Schizosaccharomyces pombe: one gene and its partners. The gene in region 2 interacts genetically with the main gene of each other region. Each region holds a gene or a part of one and is shown on either strand. Other genes may lie near its edges. The genes, in order: rhp23, uve1, rhp7 and rhp41.

Region 1 (4,462 bases), 150 kb from region 2:
TGCACACGTTTTCAAGAATTTAAAGAAAACCTTTTTTGTCTTTTTTTTTTCAACAACGTGTCGAGGATGTATCTTAAAATTAATAATTGTCCCATACTTTAGTTTTTACTCACCTCTCTAAACCTACTTCTAAAATGTTGAATAATTTTATAATGGCAACATGACCATATAATATCTGGACGTTCAAAAGTATTTGTTTGAATACTTTTTAGACGATTTAACAGTTTCTTCTCAACTTCAATTTCAATTGCTATAATTTTCTCATATAAATCATGCTTAAAACCTCCTTGAGCTGCTTCACACAGCGCTTTGACGAGCTTTCCCTGCTCTTCACAAATTTCATTACTTGAAAGTTGTTGCGACATTAATTATAATATCGTCACATTTTAAGAAAAATATAAAAAATTATCAAAAACGTATTTCTGCAGCGTTGAGCGTGGAAATTAGACCACTTAAGTCACTTGACTTCTTCCTACTTGATATCTTATGCAAAAACCCTAAGCGTAATGACAATTCAGTATTAGAGAAAGAAAAATATGGTTCTATCAAATAAAATAGTAGGGAAAAAAAATATATATATGTATATATATAATATTTACATGTACGACAAATGATTGAAAACAACTTATGTGCTGTGCTCGGAGCAACCCTGTACTCAACAATTACAAAAATATCATTGTTTTGTTTAATATTCCGTATCCTTAACTAAATGCTAGCAATAAAGAGCTGAATTAGTTGCCATTTAGGCGTTTTTCAAGCGAAAAGCAATAATTTATAAGGTGCGCGCTTTAAGGTTCATCCTCAGATTCATGTCCATGCTCGAAAAGGTAATTAGCAGCAAGCTACAATTGTTAGTTGATAATTCAATAAATCAAAAAAAAAAAAAAAACACACCTCTTCATTTTTATCACAAGCTAAATAAGCCTGAATTACAATGTTTCTGTCGAAGCCAAGTTGACATAACTAAAAGCTTGTTAGATAGTTAAAACAAAAAAATAGAAATAACATACTCTATCAATACTCTCAGATTCTTCTTGAGTAATTTGAATCTGAATTCCACCAGAAGGTAAGGCAGACTCGCCTTCGGCACCCTCCGCCAATAATTGCAAAAATGCTTCAGGATTTTGCGTAATAGCTTGAGCCAATGCAGGATCTCCCTGCCCAATTTGTTGCAATATAGTTTCCAACATCTGTGGATTTTGTTGAACAATTTGTCTTAGCTGTTGAAATTGAGGAATGCTACGAAGGAAGCCTAGAGGGTCATCACCAACGGTATTAGAAGGTTGTTCTTGATTTTCATTTTCTGATAAAGCAGCTTGTTCAAAAAGATTCGCTGGCTGGCCAGTGGAAGTAGGAGCAAGGGCTTCGCTTTGCTGTTGCTGAGCAGCAAGGGCTGCAGCACTCTCTTCTCTCTGTCGATTGAGAATGTCTTCGGGAATACCAGTTAATAAGTATTCCACTGCCCGATCAGGGTTGTTAAAAGCGGCACGCATGGCTCTTTCAACTTCGCTGCGTTCGTATCCCATTTCTACCATATTTTCGACAGCAACATTTCGTTGAGCACCAACTGCCAATGTGTTGGCGTCTATTGGTGCTTCACTAGTGGCAGTAGTATCTGGGTTTGAAGGGGCAGCAGCAGCAACAGTTTGTGTAGTAGAGGTAGATTCCGCCACGGTAGAAGAAGGAGCTTCAACTTTCTTTTCAGGTACGGAAGCCGGAGGATTGGGGGCAGGACTGGCAGCTGATTTCGGAGTAGAGGTGGAAGTTTTGGGTCGTGAAACCATGCATACAATGAAATCCTGTTCTTTTATATTGTATTCGCCAACAGTTTTGTCATCAGCAAGGATTCGACCTATAAATTAGTATTTTACATATTAAAATTATGTTATATACCTGAGTAAATTAACTTTTGACGTTCGACTTCATAATTCTGTTGCGTTTGAATTTTTTCTTTTAATTCTGAAATCTGTTTACGTTAGAAAAATAATATGCCACAATTATCATACTTTGGTATCTGCAGAAACATCAGAAATAACAAATTTCTGCTGCTGTAGATTTTTGAATGTCAAATTCATTTTCAAAGCAAATTTGGCGTAGTGGGTAAATGTATAGTAATGAAAACCTCTTTGAAAAAACGTTGCATCAGAGAATAATTGTCAAGGTAGCAAACAAACACCATACACAAGTAACATTATTTGGTATCATCGCATTGTTTATCATAAAATGTGAATGAAAAATCTAAAAAGCAAAACAGTTTGGTTTATTTGAACCTAAAATTTAATGTAAGAAAATATTTCATTTGTTTGAAAGTGTTGTGAGTGAAACATTTACCTCGTTTCCAAGTCCATTAGTACTCAATACAGTGTATTAGTTTATTCTTTATTCTTTAATTTACTATATATATATATATTTTTCTGTTGGATTATTCATTCTCATTTTCTATTTATTTACAGAACGATCGCTAATAAATTTATATATATTAATTATGATTTGTTTATTTAAGTTAGCAATGACCGTTACAATAGCAGATTTTTATTTACAAGTTTGACTTTTGAATTATGTTCCGATAGTTTTTCGCTCCTCCGTGGGCAACTAACTAGTAAACAAATGCTACAATAAGGTTGTTTAACTCATGAATATAGAAGTATATGATACGTAGAGTTGTTTATTAATCAGTATCCATATATATATATTTTTTATAGAATTTTCAACTAATAATTGGGATACGATACATATGTTAAACTAATATGAATAGCGTAGACACTTTGCTTAAACGAGATATATACATTTGTTTATTTCATTGATTTTTTTTTTAGCTATTTGGACAGCTACATCAGAATTTGAAAGCAGCGCCTTTGGTTTATACAATCCATTACCTTTGTCAGAGAAAGTATAAGGAAAGCGGAGAGAAAAAAGTCAACGTATATGTAAACTTCCGGATGCTTTCTAATTTTACATATTCTTCCAAATAAAACCCCAAATACTATCCCAAACTATGATAGCCGCTAAACACATAAATATATTTCATTAAAGACTCTCATACGAAAAATGCTGTAAACATATCATTAAAATATGCTAAGCTGCAATAACGAGTCAGGCCCAACATCTCTTTGGTAGACTTCACGAAGATCCACAGTCCAACAACGAAGCTTTACCAATTTAATTTAATCTCCGTTTGCATTATTAAAATATGTCTAAAGGTCCAGGAGATTTTAAGAAGTCTTGGAATGGGTTTGCTGCTCAAACGCCACAAAATACTCCATCTTCAGATGTACATCTTAGTAAGGCCGCATTAGAAAAAGCTAGACAAACCTTGCAATCACAACTGGAGGACAAATCAGCACATGATGAAGTTAGCGGGTTATTGCGCAACAATCCGGCCATGTTATCAATGATTGAGGGACGCCTTAGCTCGTTGGTTGGAAAGTCGTCGGGATATATAGAGAGCCTTGCGCCAGCAGTCCAAAATCGTATTACAGCATTGAAAGGCCTTCAAAAAGATTGTGATGCAATTCAATATGAATTTCGTCAAAAAATGTTAGATCTGGAAACAAAATACGAGAAAAAATATCAACCTATTTTCTCTAGAAGAGCCGAAATTATCAAGGGTGTTTCTGAACCAGTGGACGACGAATTAGATCACGAGGAAGAAATATTTCAAAATAATCTTCCAGATCCTAAGGGAATTCCCGAATTTTGGCTGACTTGTCTTCATAATGTTTTCTTGGTTGGCGAAATGATAACACCAGAAGATGAAAATGTCTTGCGATCACTCAGCGACATTCGTTTTACCAACCTTTCGGGAGATGTTCATGGTTACAAACTAGAATTCGAATTTGACTCAAATGATTACTTTACAAACAAGATTTTAACGAAAACTTATTACTATAAAGATGATTTAAGTCCTTCGGGTGAGTTTTTGTATGATCATGCTGAGGGTGATAAGATTAATTGGATCAAGCCTGAAAAAAATTTAACGGTTAGAGTGGAGACAAAAAAACAACGTAACCGTAAAACAAATCAAACTAGATTGGTCCGTACTACGGTCCCTAATGACAGTTTTTTCAACTTTTTCTCACCTCCTCAGTTGGACGATGATGAATCTGATGATGGTTTGGATGACAAAACAGAGCTTTTAGAACTCGACTATCAATTGGGAGAAGTCTTTAAAGATCAAATCATACCCTTGGCAATTGACTGTTTCTTAGAAGAAGGTGACTTGAGCGATTTTAACCAAATGGATGAAGAAGACTCTGAAGACGCATATACTGATGAGGAGGATCTGTCTTCAGATGACGAAGAAATTTTGAGTAGCGAAATTAGTGATTGATATTTATATTGTGTTCGTTAGATTATGAGTAAGTTCAATGTGAGCAAAAATGAGAAATTGACGCTGAATGATAATTTCGCTTATAGTTTGGTAAGTTTATTGTGGCTTAAAAAATTAAAATGTTGATTTACG
Region 2 (4,489 bases):
ACTTAAAAGTTGAAAGGCTAAGGGGTCGTATCCTGCACCTAAATTCACTATTGCCTTTCTTTTGCCGGTTTTATTCTTCAAAAACTGGTACACTGCAAATCGAATAGCCATGCATCGTGTCCAATAACCTCTATTTACGCTTGGCGATCTTCTAGGTGATTTCTGTATAAACGGTTGATAATAAGAATGTCCTACGGTAAAACCTGGATATCCACATTTTTCAACTGAGGCTTTTGAAAGAATTGAGCTGTCATTGGTTTTACGAACTTCTCTATCTTTTGACTTAGTTTTCCTTTGATTTTTGTTTGACATTGTATATGAATAAAGAGAAGCTCATTTAATCTTTCGAAGCCTTGAGAATTTTTGCAGTTAAGTTACACAAGCTTACGAAGATTAGTGGAAAGGAATTATAATATTGATCAGAAAACGACAATACCAATATGACCGGAATTGCTTAAAGTTTTACATAATTCGTGTAAATCGTAAATTACTAGTTTAAATTTTATATTTAATTGAAATGTTTTATTGAAATTTGATTGTAAATAAAACAATAACTTTTAGATTAAATATTAGCATGGACAGTAAGCAAATAAGAAAATAAATAGTACTCTAGTGAATTTTTTCGGAAATATCTAGAGCCAAAAAGACAAAAATGATTGCATTGAAAATGCAGATGGCTAAATTATGCCATAAATCAAAAAGTATGACGGATTTTTATTTTTCATCCTCTTCTACTTCTTCTTTTCTACTACGCCTTTTTCTTGCAGTTAAACGCTTTTCAGCTCCGGGCGGATAATATCCATCTCGAGTTTGATCGTATTCAGGCCCCATAATTTCAAGAGGACATGGTGGATTTTGTAACTCATAACGTCTACACAATTCAAATACAGCCTGTTCCTTTTCCTTAGCTTCTATCATTAGATCCATTGTAGGATCACACGGTGGAAAGTCAAACACCCTATCAGAGTGAGCACGTCGTTTCATCCCAGAAATCGCCGTTGGATCAGCCGATTCTGAGTAATGTTGCTTCTGTGTAATTCCCTTTCTTGTCCAGGTTTCTCGAATAGTTGGGATTAATGGCATTAAATCTAAACTTCCTTCACGAAGCGTTCCTGGCACTATGTTGTGATGATGCCAATCCAAAACTAGAGGAATATTAAGTTCTTGGCATAAAGGTAATAAATCTTGAACTGACCAAGAAACATCATCGTTTTCTAAAACTAAACGAGCTTTAACCGAATCAGACAAGCGTTGATAATTTTTACGAAACCTATCCAATGTTTCTTTTTTTCCTTCAAAGGTACCACCAAGGTGAATAATTAAAACAGCGTCTTTATTTAATTGTTCATTCAACTTCATACGACTGAGAATTTCATCATGATAAGCCAAATCACGTATTGCCGAATCAACTACGACTTCTCGTGGAGAGGCTATCTGGGTGTACTGACCAGGATGCATAGTCAATCGATGATTATATTTATTTGCCAGCTTGCCCACCTCCTCGAGATGAGATTGTGCAAATTCAAGGGTATATCCATACTTTGCATGGCTTGCGAAAGGAAATAAATCAGAACTCACTCTCATGAAGTGAATGCCAAAGTTGTGATTCCACTCAACCAATTTGATTAAATCTAAAACATTTTGCGTACCTAGCTGCTTGACACTTTCGAGCCCATCACGTTGAATGGTTGTAATTCGGCAGGTGCGTGAACAAAAAACCCTCTCCTTCATTGACCTTAAAATAGTATTCAAACAAGCATACCCCAATCGTCCTCGCCAGGGTATGGGTTTGTCCAAACAATCAAACATCTCTCGTGGAGCATGATCATCAAGATTCATTGTAGATTCTTTTTCTAAATTTTTTGCAGAAGAACGAGACCGTCTTCGTTTAGAAATTGGAGTTTCCAACTGTTCCGGCACAACCGGTTCGAACTCGTCAGAGCTACTTTCATTTTTAAGAGACTTTTCGTCGACTTCTTCAACATACTCCTCTTCCTCTTTTTGTTTAACTTTTTTAGTAGCTTTACTAATTTGCTCCTCCGATTCGGATTCTGACGAGGAATTGTAGTTGACCGGTTTTTTTGATCTCGACGATCGCCTAAGATGAGTTGAAGAATCATAGGACGCAACAGACTCATCAATTTTATCGGAAACAGAATCTGTCGCTTTCTTTTTACTGCTACGTGCCCTCTTTCGTGTAGACGTAGAAGTACTTTTTTTGTGAGGTCCACTGATATTAGCTAACTCAGTCTCATTTTCTTTTTTTAAGTCGACTGGTGTTTCGGCAGAGAATGAATTCGCACCGATATTAACTTGCGGTAACATTGAGAGTGTGGTTTTTGAGCTCATTGGAAGTAAACTTTTAAGGGTATCGGGTAAACAATGAAAACGAGAGTAAGTAATGGTACAAACCGACGGTACACAAGGATGATTACCTTTAAATGCCTTTTGTTTTAATATGGTGAAAACAATGCGTTTAGAGATTTGAATATTTCGTTTCAATAGCCTAAGCATTAAAAAATGAAAACGATTTTAGTATCAATATGACATTATTTAGAAGGAAATAAGCCCTTCGCAAACTTGCTTATATCCCTACAACTATTATCTTGTAAGTGAAAAGAGATATCGACAAGAAGTGATTGAGACTCAATACTAGTCAAAATCAACGAGTGTGAAGACAAATCTTCTTTCATTCCCAGTAAACCAAAAATGGTTTTGTATCATTGTTACGTCAAAATTCGCTATGATTTTATTGGAAGGCCATGAGATTACTGATGCTCAAGGGATTCAACTTTTGACAGTTATTGTTCAGTGTAGATAGGACTGCTTTTACGAGGAAATTTTGGTTTCTCAAATCGAGCTTAGTTTAGCAATACAATGTTAAGTAAAAAGATTGTGTTGCTTTCTCTTTAATAATTGCAGATTCAGTTGAACAATCAAAAAAACAGCAGATAGGAAAAAACATTTGAAATGAAAATTTGGCCAAGTCAAGGAGTCGCGACAATTTATTTTACCATCTGTAGCATATGTGTGTATGGGAAGCAGAAGTAGGCGGATTCGGGTCATTTATATTGTATTATGAACCGTCTTAATGCTGCTTTCTGCTGACATGGACATCTTTAAAAATATACAAACAATTACCGTGTAATTCACAATAGATTTAATACCATCAGCATTAATGAGTTGGTTGAGAAGCCATCATTGCGAAATCGCAATGTAGGTAGAGTAAACGAAGCGAATTGTTTACGATAAAATACAGTATATCTTTAGAACCGTAGATAGCTGCATCAGCGAAACGATTGGTTTTTTCTGCAAATACTATTACAACCAGTAGCATGAAGAACGCTTCTTACTGCCGCATCGTTTTTGCCGACCTGGCTGATCGATTGACAAAACAAACTTCTAGCAGAAATAAATGATCAGCGCTTCTTATATTTAACATTTGGCAGCGTGCTGCCCGCGTGTGAATATTTTCCTTAAGTTTGTATCCCAACAGAAAAGCGTAAAAAATTGGAACCACATTGAATCTTCAAATAAACAATATTAACATTACATTTCAGCATAAGCATCGACTATACATGACCTCGAGGTGTTTAAAGAATTAGTAATTCTTGCTTTGCACATAGTTTATAACGAAGTACGTCCTAGCATCACTCGATATTATCATTTAAGGTAGCACCACTATTGCTCTATACAATCAGCTATTACATAAACGTTGTAAGAGAGGAATTATACAAACGTCGACGACGGCGATTAATTGTTACCTTTCCCCTTAATTGAATACCATGACTGAGAATGAGAAAAGCAGGTCTTTACCTGCTGAAAGGTTCGTATATTTAAAGAAAACGACTAATTGATATTAGAAACCCTCTCTATAAAGACGATACACTTGACCGTACGCGCTTCCCGAAATTACGTGAAACTAATATAGCAGATACACCATTAATCCCAAAGTGTCGCGCTCAGGTAATAGAATTTCCTGATGGACCAGCTACTTTTGTTCGTCTCAAGTGTACAAATCCGGAATCTAAAGTGTAATTATCTTTTTTTTGCAGTGTTGTTTTTGGAAAAATACTAATGATGTATATAAATATAGACCTCACTTTCTTATGAGGATGGCAAAGGATTCAAGCATTAGTGCTACGTCAATGTAAGCGTTTTTTCATATCTTTTTCTAAAAATCTAAACCCGATTAGGTTTCGTTCAGCTTTCCCTAAGGCTACCCAAGAAGAAGAAGACTTGGAAATGAGATGGATTCGTGATAATTTAAACCCAATTGAAGACAAACGTGTTGCTGGACTATGGGTGCCTCCTGCAGATGCCTTGGCTCTTGCCAAAGACTACAGCATGACCCCGTTTATTAACGCCTTGTTAGAGGCATCCTCCACTCCTTCAACTTATGCGACTCCTTCACGCCCCACTGCGCAGAAATCAGAGACATCTGAGGGGGAACCTGAATCTTCGACATCTGCCACTACCACTTCTGTTG
Region 3 (5,126 bases), on a different chromosome or scaffold from region 2:
GGCTTAAGTGAACTCGTTTTCTGGAAGAAAGCCCATTCATTCTCTGACCATTTGCTCTATATAAATTGATATTTCACAGGTTTGAAGATAGCCTCTTTCAAGATGTATATTAATCAAGAGGAAGATAATCGCATATCTTTAATGGAGAATGGTAGTCTTGAACAAAAGGTACGTTTAATCATTCTTTTATAATAAATCAACGGCTCACTAAGTAATTCTTCTTTATAGTGAGGCTCATGACCGTAGTCGTAAACTCGAATTATTAAGCATTAGAATCAATATTTTCGGTTTACAACTCAATATTATTATTAATCTCATACCGCTTGTCTTGCTTTTTGCTTTTTTTTGCCCTTGTATATATTTTTTGCATACTTTTCTGGCGGATTGTGAGATAGCCAAATCGACTTGCATAACCAGTGTTTTCAATTGTTTGATTTTTCATATGCCCAACTTGTCGGGCGATTGGAATATTACAGTTTGAAAAGAATGTTTGCAGTTTAAAAAGGATAAATATTTATGTTTGTTTGATGAGCTTTGCGTTTCCGAGCAGCAGTAAACCTCTTTAGTCTGGCAAGCAATACCATTAGTGTACTATTCATAATCTTATGCTATATAAAATCAAGGTGATTGAAAATTACATTGCTTGATATTTGTATTACAACAAAGAGCAGCGGGATTTTTTTTTTAAAAAAAGGTAGTTAAATTGTTTGATTATGTGTAAAAATGATTCGGAGATCCATTCGTAAAGAGAGGGAATGGTAATAAAAAAATAATTCATTACCCAAAGAAATGGTTAGCTATTTGTTCGCAGACCATATCATCTAATTTGAAAATAAATAAATAAATAAAATTAAAAATAAAAAGGTTTCAAATACAAATATTCGTTAAAGAATAATATCAGAAAGACACAAAAAGAGATTGAGGCTGTTCAAGGAACTTAGTGTCCATCAAATAAGGTGATAATTTAAATAATGTACTAGTCATTAAATTTTTCAAAAGAATAATTACAGGTCCAATTCAACAACCAAAACCTTTGATAAAATTGAAAAAGAAAGTATTTCCATCCTTATTGAACTTCACGCCCTATCAGAAGTAACCGATTTGAGGGCATCAGGACATGATTATCTCCCCATACCAAAAGCTTCTCAAGCGTTGGCTTTTTGCTTTCAAAATCGCATACCAATTTGTCATTCATTCCACGAATCCAGCTGACATCAAGTGCTTTTAGCATAGGTAATGGAAAATTGACAATATACTGTAATGCTTCATCAGTCACAAACGACATTCCATTTAAATCCAGAGTGCGAAGCGTATGCCCTGAATTAACCAATACTGCACGAACAGTTTTATCTCCAAGTGACAGACACCTTCTTAAGGACAATGTTTCTAAGCCTGACTGAATCTTCCATTCACCAAAAACTATAGAGGCCTCATCATCTGTTAACAGTTCCAAACCACTTAAATTTAGATGCTTAAGACGACCACAACAAGGACCTATACCTTGTTTCAAAACTTCATCAGTTAATTTTGTACAACCAGATAAACTAAGAGTATGCAAACCGCTTCCAATTTGGTTTAGTACATCTAATATACTTCCATCATTAATGATGCCGCCTGGTGATTCAATCTTCAAACTGACAAGATTTCTACAACCAGCTAATAGACGGACGCATTCATCATCAAGATAGAAAATTCTAGAGAGATTAAGGCTAATCAAATTTGGGCAACAGTCAACTATAGCGTTGATAACCGAAACATGAATTCGGGCAGTATCCGTAAGCTCTAAACTTATAAGCTTTGAACCCCGTTTTTTAAAAAAATTTATCCATTCTGAGGAAGAAACCAAAAAGGCACCTTGAAAAGATACATCTGTTAATTCAGTCAAATGATCCGCATAAAAGTGTAAAACTTGATCCTGCATTTGACCACAATAAGTAAGATGCAAAGTTTGAAGATTTGGGCAGTATTGAGCAATTTGGAAAAGTGAATCTGCTGTAATCTTTGAGCAATCATATAGTTTTAATTCAGTTTGACCCCCACTTAAGAATAATTTCACAGTAGTATCGTTAAGAGAGCGGTTTTTTGAAATTATTTGGCTAATTTTGTCCATATTCACTTGGCCAATATCCCCAAAAGCTTCGATATCATTTATGTATTCAGCAATAACTCGTATACACAAATCCTGAAGCTTAGGAACACTGATTTCTTCGTCCATGGTAGCGGCAGCCACCTTTTTACGGGTCAATGCTTTTCTTTTTCTCGTCCTTAATTCAGGTACCGATCGATCTTCAGCACCACGACTACAAGGATAACATAGCCACCCTTTCTCTGAATTGCTGTATTTGCTGTATGGGGTTATTGTAAAGCGACAATTACAGTGTGCGCAAAAATCTAGTTTGCCCGTATGCTCCCTTGCTTTATAAGAAAACCCAGCTCTTGAATTCATTGAAAAAGTGTCCTCGTTGTCTTCAGCTTCTTCATCCGTTTTCTTCTTCTTTTTTTGATTTCGTAGATTTCGTCGTTTCACTACTGGTATCTCAATTGTCGTTGTCGACATCGAGTTTTCATCTTCGTTGTTTTCTTCAACAGAAGTCGGTGTTTGAATAACTTCTGATTCTGTCCCAGTCGATTGCCCTGCTGACTCCTCGCTTTGACGAGGAGGACGAGCACGTCCTAATGCTGAAGCATTGATACCTTGAGACTGAATAATGCATTAGTAACTCCGAGCTAAGAAAGAGTCATCACATACTCTTAAAAATTCTGTTAAAGCAGAATTTGGCCCTCTCACCCGACTTCCACTTGACATTTTAAAGAAATCCTTAGTATGCTGAGGATAAGGTGGAAGTGTGGTTGAGTTTAATTAAATCGCTTCAGATCGCGTGGCAACTTGTCTCATACCAACCACTACTATGCATATATCTACTCTAAAAGTGGACCAATTACAAAATGAAGCTGTAGATATTAATTCAAACGATACAATTGATTCCATAAATTGGAAAAATACTCGCAATAACCATACTACTCAGGCGTCTCTTCAAGCAGACAATAATGATGAGCAAAGTAATGGGCAGGCTCCATTTTCTACTACTTATTCAGAGATAAATAACATTCATGATGTACCAGGCAATCAAGATGAATGGTCATCTTCTCCCATTGCGGGCATTATTGTAGAAAGTGAAGATGAGGAAGTGGTTGAAAACAATTTACATTCACAAATGGGGACGTCATGTAATAAAATAAACTCGAATAGTAATAAGGGAAAAGAAAATATGCATTTTGTTCTAGATGATAATGGTGATTCAAAGGGGAATGCTTCAAATCAACAAGTCGAGCGTGACGACAAGTTAGATATGGAGACAACGCGCTGGAACGGAAAAGAGTTTGAAGAACCTCTGTCAACAAACAAAAAATTGATTATCCAGTCAAACAACACCTCATCTCAACATTCGACACCCCCATTATCCATTTCTGATACCAGTACACACACCGGTAGCAGCACAGACAATGTAGAAGCAAATCCCAATACAGGTTTTTCTAGTGCCAGAAAACGTTCATTAAGGTCCTCGAATTTGAAAAAAAAGTTTGTGCCATTGTCATCTCCAGAAGAATCTAATGAATCCGAATTTATTGATGATGATGAAAGTGATGAAGTTGCTAGCATAATTGATATCAAAGAGGATGAAACTTTTGATAGTAAAGTAGAAATTCCAGAAGCTGCTCCAAGTTCTTCTACGGAAAGTGATGAAGAGTCAATCCCTTTAAGTTACCAGTCCAAACGAAGGAGGGTATCCGCTAGGGCTTCTTCTTCCGCGTCCTCTTCCTCTAGAACACAAGCAAAATCAATTCCATCACATGAAAGAACCCATTATCGTCTGATTCGACAACATCCTGAACTAGAACATGTTTGGGAGAAATTGGAAGAAGAAGCACCTCGTGAAGTGAAACAGATCGAGCAACCCAAAGAGTTGGTCCTAAACCTTCTCCCTTTTCAACGAGAAGGTGTATATTGGTTAAAACGACAAGAAGATTCCTCTTTTGGTGGAGGAATCTTGGCCGATGAAATGGGTATGGGTAAGACTATTCAAACAATTGCGTTGTTGCTTTCAGAACCTCGAGGTAAGCCAACCTTGGTTGTTGCTCCGGTTGTAGCAATTATGCAATGGAAAGAAGAGATTGATACACATACCAATAAAGCACTGAGTACATATCTTTATTATGGCCAGGCTCGTGATATTTCAGGAGAAGAGCTTTCGAGCTATGATGTTGTACTAACGAGTTACAATGTAATTGAATCAGTTTACAGGAAGGAACGCAGCGGATTCAGAAGGAAAAACGGTGTTGTAAAAGAAAAGTCATTACTTCATCAAATGGAGTTTTACCGAATTATACTTGATGAGGCCCATGGTATCAAATCAAGGACTTGTAACACTGCCAGAGCTGTTTGTGGCTTAAGAACGACAAGAAAGATATGTCTTTCAGGAACACCTTTGCAAAACCGTATTGGAGAATTATTTTCACTTCTTCGGTTCCTACGGGCAGATCCTTTTGCTTACTACTATTGCTTGCAATGTGAATGTAAATCTCTGCACTGGAGATTTTCCGATAGAAGTAATTGCGACGAATGCGGCCATAAACCAATGAGTCATACTTGCTATTTTAACGCTGAAATGCTAAAACCAATACAAAAGTTTGGATACGAAGGTCCAGGAAAGCTAGCTTTTAAAAAGGTGCATTCTTTATTAAAACACATTATGTTACGTCGAACAAAATTAGAGAGGGCTGATGACCTTGGATTACCTCCTCGAGTCGTTGAAGTGAGGAAAGATTTATTCAACGAAGAAGAGGAAGATGTATACCAATCTTTATATATGGATTCAAAAAGAAAATTTAATACATATCTTGCTGAAGGTGTCGTTTTGAATAATTATGCAAACATTTTCCAGCTAATTACACGAATGCGCCAAATGGCAGATCATCCTGACCTGGTGTTAGCTAGCAAACGAAAAACAGTTGATATTGAAAATCAGGAAAATATCGTCTGTAAGATTTGTGACGAAGTCGCTCAAGATGCTATAGAATCACGTTGCCATCACACATTTTGTCGACTCTGCGTTACGGAATATATC
Region 4 (5,137 bases), on a different chromosome or scaffold from region 2:
GTCTAATATCACTTAGTGATGGATTTCGTGGTCCAGGTAATTGGGAAGATCATTTTGATCCATTTCACTTCCCAAACATACTTATCGATGTACATAGGTATATCATTTTTAATGATTTCTTAATTGGTTTGAGGCCAAAAGATAAACTTAATGTGATATGTAAGTCATGGAACGAAGAAATGAAGTTAAAGGCCAAATTACCGACGATTATAGGAGAGTGGAGCCTTGCGGATACAGATTGTGCTAAGTTTTTAAATAATGTTGGAGAGGGTGCTCGATGGGACGGCACTTTTACTCCTAATGGAGGTGTTGCCAGTTGTTCTGAAAAAGTTGGTTGTCGTTGCGACTTCGCAAATCAGGACCCCGAAAATTACGAGGATTCTTATCGAAAGTTTCTATATGCTTTAGCTACTTCACAAATTGAAACATTTGACAAAACATGGGGCTGGTTTTATTGGAACTGGGACACCGAAAATGCCACTCAATGGAGTTACAAAAAATCATGGCTGGCAGGTTTGTTGCCTCGCTTGGCTTACTCTACAACGAAGGATTTCAATTGCAGCATGCTTGATTCTAAATCTTTCATGGAGTTTGACGAGCAATCTGAATTTTGATGGTAATTAGAAAATGCAAGCATTGTTCTTTGGATAATATCAATCTTTTATTTTAATTTATGTCAATATAAAGGTACTTATTAAAGACCCCTGAATTCTATAGAATTTTAAAGTCATGATCGCTCATCTTTATTTGTGTACTAATATATATATACAAAGAAATATATGATAACAATTCAAACTTCGTATTACAATAAAAAATAAATAACAACCTTGATGTAGATAACACTAAGAATGTGTAGCCAGGTACTTTGTAAAATGATTCCATCATTGAGCTCGTAGATTAGGAAAATCGAATTTATCAATTAACCGTATTCTTCGAATACACGCTGACGAATCCGAAGGCCTGTAATCAGTCGCTTCCATAATAAAAGACAAGTCTTTCTTACATTCCTTGCCTCTGCTTCTTTTTCTTCCTGGTCTATCTCCTCTGCAATGAGATCGATAGCCTCTTCATAACGCTTAGAAACAACAACTCCCTCTAATTTAGGCTTTGAGTACTTCCGTTGAAAATCAAATCCAACAACTGCTTTTGCATAGTCAATCTCTAAAAATTTAGCTGCTGCCAAAGCACAACGTTTTCTACAATGATATGCTCCATATGGCAACATTGAAGGGACATATAAATCGATGTTTCCGTATGCATTTTTAGGAACAATGTTCGCAACAACCGGTTTCGGAGTGTACAACTGCGTAGCTTCTTCATCATACAAGGGTAATACTTTATCTCCATTCTTAACATGTTTTAAAGGCTGAGCTCCTGGCTTTATGATACGACCCTTACGATACCAATGTTCAGCAGAGAAGCCGTTGCTAACATATTTGCGTGGATACACTAATTCGACCCCATTTTTTGTGTTGATTCTTCCACAGGATTTACCAGTTTTAATAGCCTGGTTCTTTTTTAAATGCCTCTCCAAAACAAAAAGCGGGTGATCTTTCAAATCTTGAATATTCCTCGGAATTCCTTCTGATTGTTCAAGCCTTAGTAATTCCGCATCCTCTATAGCATCCATGTCATTATAAAAATCCCTTGGTTTTCCAATTTTAGAAAATATTCTATTCATCCAAGCCTTTCCAAAGGGAAAAATCTCGACTCTATTCTTTAATATTTTATAATAATGTAAACAATATTTTCGGGTAACATCTTTTACATACCCATTAGCCTCAATAGCAAATACATAAGTCATTTGATTTAGATGGTCACTGGAAGCCGGTTCAAACCTTCTGTACTTGCCAATGACACTAGCATCACCAAATGGATCAACACAAACCCATTTTTGCATAGCTTTATTAAAAGCCTCTACCCAAAAAACCGGTTTGGGAGAATCAATTACCTTTAGTTTTGTATCTTCTGTAACAATATCTGAGGCATCAAGATGTGAAAGATTTGAAAAAGAAGGCTGTATGATTTTCCTACGTTTGCGAAATCTAGAAGTAATGTGTGCACTTTCAGAGATATCGCTAGATGAATCATTTTCCATTTGCTGAGACCATGCCGGAACAATTTCATGACTACTTGCTTCATTTATGGCACCTTTAAATCGAAAAGATAAAACTTGTAGTGAAAAAACTAGTCTAGTTGGAACGTTTAAATTACGAAGAATAGATGCAAATAACTGGGTTCCATAATCTCTACTACCGGAAAGCAATTTTGAGTTTTTACAAAACTCCTCAAGGGATAAAGATTCAGAGATGAGGCTATTGTTTTGTAGTAAACCATAATTCGGTTTTCTTAATCCATTGGTAGTGATTTTATATTTCCGTTTCCAAACTTCGACGAGTCCAGCCAACCCGTGTAGGAAAGTTTTGTTCCGAATCATTTGTGACTTTTGAGAAGAGGGATGAAGCGAGACACGTATACCAGGAGGAATATATTTCACAAGATAATTTAGTCTATTGTCATCGCACCAAGTGTTTCGTGTGCAAAGATGATAAGTCAAACAGAGTAAGTGTAACTGATGAATTTGAAGACGAATCTTTCTATCAACGGAAGTGATCTTTAAGCGGCTACGTTTTTCAACCGTTCGATCAACGGTGGCCTCAACGTCTCCAAAATCATGAGTTGGTCGTTCTTGAATCAACCTTTCACCATGTACGGCGGATGAAAGGAGCGAAGAATTTAAAATAGGTGCAGTTTTAATATCATTATTAGGGAGACCAAGATCTAAATCTAACCATTCTTCATCATCACTATAGGTATTATCTTCGTCACTCATCATAGCATTTATATTTGATAGAAGCCAACTTTTTTCAGTATTAAGACTCGTTGCGCCCTTATTCTATTATATTATTTTAAAAAATGAAACATAAAAAACCAATGAAACGTTTTTGAGATGCGTAACTCTTTAAAAACACTAGGGAGCACGAGTTTATAAAGATACTTCAATTAAGTAGAATATAAGAAAATGTTTTGACCATTAATAATGCACGTAACACATGAGAAAAAGATTTGTATTTATTGATACGAAAAGTAGTTCATAACGTTAAGAAAAACAAATTCCTTTTCTATTAAAATCATAGCTAACGTTGAATTTGTTTATATACAGCGTTGTAGTGAAACCAAAAATCGCCGTTAGAGTACATTATATTTTAAGTTAGAAGTTTGCGTTGCATTTTGGTAAACGGCATATCTTTGAGGTAGCGATATGGCTACTTTGCAACTTCAATCTTTAGCATTGCACAGGCTATTCGAATTTCAAATTGCCTTTTTCAAGGGTTTACTATCTCTATCCTATATAAATTTCGTTAAATTTCTTTTTATCAAGAATTGAGGCTCGTTTATCCGGTCATAACTTTTGGTAGCTTTAAAAGGTCTCTTTGTTTAGGATAGAATAGAATTTGCTACCGTTCTCTCACGAGAGCTTAAAGATGGTAGGCACTTCTTCTTTAGATATTTCAATGAGCGGTAGCTCAAGTTCGGACGCAGAACAATGGGAGAAACAGACAAAAAGTGTCCATATCGATAATTCGTAAGTAACTGAAATAGTTGCTTCGCTGAACGTTACTGATGGTTACTAATCATTGCTTGTACAGAGACGTGAATTCGCTGATTTTAGATTATTTGGTGATTCAAGGTGACGAAGAAGCCGCAAAAACATTTGCTGAAGAAGCTCAAATTACGGATTATTATATTCCTCCATATGTAAAAGAACGTTTAGAGATTTGCGAGTTAATTAAATCAGGTTCAATTAACTCTGCAATATGCAAACTGAATGAATTGGAGCCAGAGGTATGCTGAAAGCAAGTAAGGATTACGAGTTAACAGCTACATAGATTTTGGACACAAATTCAGAACTTCTGTTTGAATTATTACGATTGAGATTGCTTGAATTGATACGAGAAGTTGTTGAAGAGAAAGATACCTCTGATTTAGCGGTAGAAAGATGTTTAAACTTTGCACATGAAAATTTAGCACCTTTAGCACCCTCAAATCAAAAGTTTTTGAATTCTTTAGAGTTGACAATGTCGCTTTTATGTTTTCCTCCTTCTTCCTACAGCCCTGCCTTGAAAAATGTTTTGAATTACAGCCAACGTGAGCGTGTTGCAAACCTTGCCAACGTTAGTATATTGAAGTCTCAAGGATTATCAAATGAGTCTAGGTTGTTGTCTTTGGTAAATTTTGAGCGCTGGTGTGAAAAAGAGGCACAAAGGAATTCGATTGAAGTGCAGAAATTTGTGCCCAAAGCATCCATAAAATGATTACTTTTTACGACCTTCCTCAGTTTATGCATTTATGTCTGTTACATCCATTTAACATAAGAACTTTTTTCGTATTGTTCTCACTAATGATAATTAAATTATTGAACTCACAAATGATAATATGACATTCAATTAACAAAGCCAATTTTTGTTGTTAAGCAACATCGTATAGTATCAAGTTACTGACAAGCAAAGCAAACACAACTTTTCCTTTTAAAAGTAAGGAGGGAATTTAATGGGTTATTAAATTAGCAATATTTTTTCTATGGCGAATAATTTGATTTTCTTCATTGGTAATCATAGATAACTGTAGCGAGATGCCTTTCGTTCTCGCAAATTAAGATTGTTTAGGCTAAAAAAAAAGGTTAGAATTGGATATAAACAAAAGTGTTCCAAAACTGAAAACTTACCAAATTTCAAAATTGAGCGTTTGTCGCTTTTCCAAAAAACTAGAAGTTTCCAACAACATATTGATATTAGGGCCTTGTAATGTTTCGGCTTGCAAGGTTTGTAAAAGGAATTCCTTAAATTCTTGGCTAATTAATCCACGAACTCGGTTGACTAAAACATTTGCATTCGGAGTTAGTTGGATGGATTGAATAGATTTACGAAAAAAGTTTGGCTGACCTTGAAAAATTTCAAGAGCAACTAAGCCCAAGCTTTTAACATCCTTCATAAATCCTTCTTTATAATTCTTTTCAATTAACCAGTCAGGAACATGAGATACTGCTCCACGGTTAGTCTGTCTTTCAATGTATGGCGAAGAAAATGCATAATTGCCAATTTTAAGGCAACTGCTTTTCGTGAGATATATGCATTCG

The links.
Region 1: of uve1 (region 2) and rhp23, changing one enhances a phenotype caused by changing the other (phenotypic enhancement), as found in Schizosaccharomyces pombe (2 studies listed by BioGRID).
Region 3: mutations in uve1 (region 2) and rhp7 impair growth when combined (synthetic growth defect), as found in Schizosaccharomyces pombe (2 studies listed by BioGRID, with this or other methods).
Region 4: of uve1 (region 2) and rhp41, changing one enhances a phenotype caused by changing the other (phenotypic enhancement), as found in Schizosaccharomyces pombe (2 studies listed by BioGRID, with this or other methods).

The regions. Positions count from the first base shown.
Region 1 is NC_003423.3:2,984,577-2,989,038, reverse strand, and holds rhp23 (UV excision repair protein rhp23), read right to left. Parts: upstream 2,111-4,462; 5' UTR 2,076-2,110; coding exon 2,007-2,075; intron 1,971-2,006; exon of another isoform or gene 1,967-1,970; coding exon 1,894-1,966; exon of another isoform or gene 1,853-1,893; coding exon 1,011-1,852; exon of another isoform or gene 964-1,010; coding exon 895-963; exon of another isoform or gene 843-894; coding exon 789-842; 3' UTR 550-788; downstream 1-549. Other genes in the region: telomerase regulator Est1, read right to left, coding at 1-72, 114-365; nucleosome assembly protein Nap2, read left to right, coding at 3,191-4,330. UniProt on the Schizosaccharomyces pombe protein: Involved in postreplication repair of UV-damaged DNA. Postreplication repair functions in gap-filling of a daughter strand on replication of damaged DNA.
Region 2 is NC_003423.3:2,837,072-2,841,560, forward strand, and holds uve1 (endonuclease Uve1), read right to left. Parts: upstream 2,515-4,489; coding exon 715-2,514; 3' UTR 501-714; downstream 1-500. Other genes in the region: tRNA methyltransferase Ppm2, read right to left, coding at 1-312; integral nuclear inner membrane protein Bqt4, read left to right, coding at 3,786-3,826, 3,864-3,895, 3,935-4,034, 4,097-4,150, 4,197-4,489. UniProt on the Schizosaccharomyces pombe protein: Endonuclease for the repair of UV-irradiated DNA. Involved in the excision of cyclobutane pyrimidine dimers (CPD) and 6-4 pyrimidine pyrimidones (6-4PP) which forms the UV damage repair (UVDR) pathway. Also functions in oxidative damage repair in vivo.
Region 3 is NC_003421.2:103,360-108,485, reverse strand, and holds rhp7 (DNA repair protein), read right to left. Parts: upstream 2,807-5,126; coding exon 2,750-2,806; exon of another isoform or gene 2,702-2,749; coding exon 1,067-2,701; 3' UTR 638-1,066; downstream 1-637. Other genes in the region: SPOM_SPCC330.19C (uncharacterized protein), read left to right, coding at 149-168, 229-481; rhp16 (ATP-dependent helicase), read left to right, coding at 2,910-5,126. UniProt on the Schizosaccharomyces pombe protein: Involved in global genome repair (GGR) via nucleotide excision repair (NER), in conjunction with rhp16, after UV irradiation.
Region 4 is NC_003424.3:4,592,954-4,598,090, forward strand, and holds rhp41 (DNA repair protein Rhp41), read right to left. Parts: upstream 3,143-5,137; 5' UTR 2,837-3,142; coding exon 920-2,836; 3' UTR 647-919; downstream 1-646. Other genes in the region: glucan glucosidase exg2, read left to right, coding at 1-614; gid8 (ubiquitin ligase complex subunit protein), read left to right, coding at 3,486-3,586, 3,651-3,846, 3,891-4,316; tea5 (serine/threonine protein kinase Ppk2), read right to left, coding at 4,614-4,668, 4,727-5,137. UniProt on the Schizosaccharomyces pombe protein: Has a role in the nucleotide excision repair (NER) pathway. Acts in both transcription-coupled repair (TCR) which removes damage from the transcribed strand of active genes and in global genome repair (GGR) which removes damage in untranscribed DNA.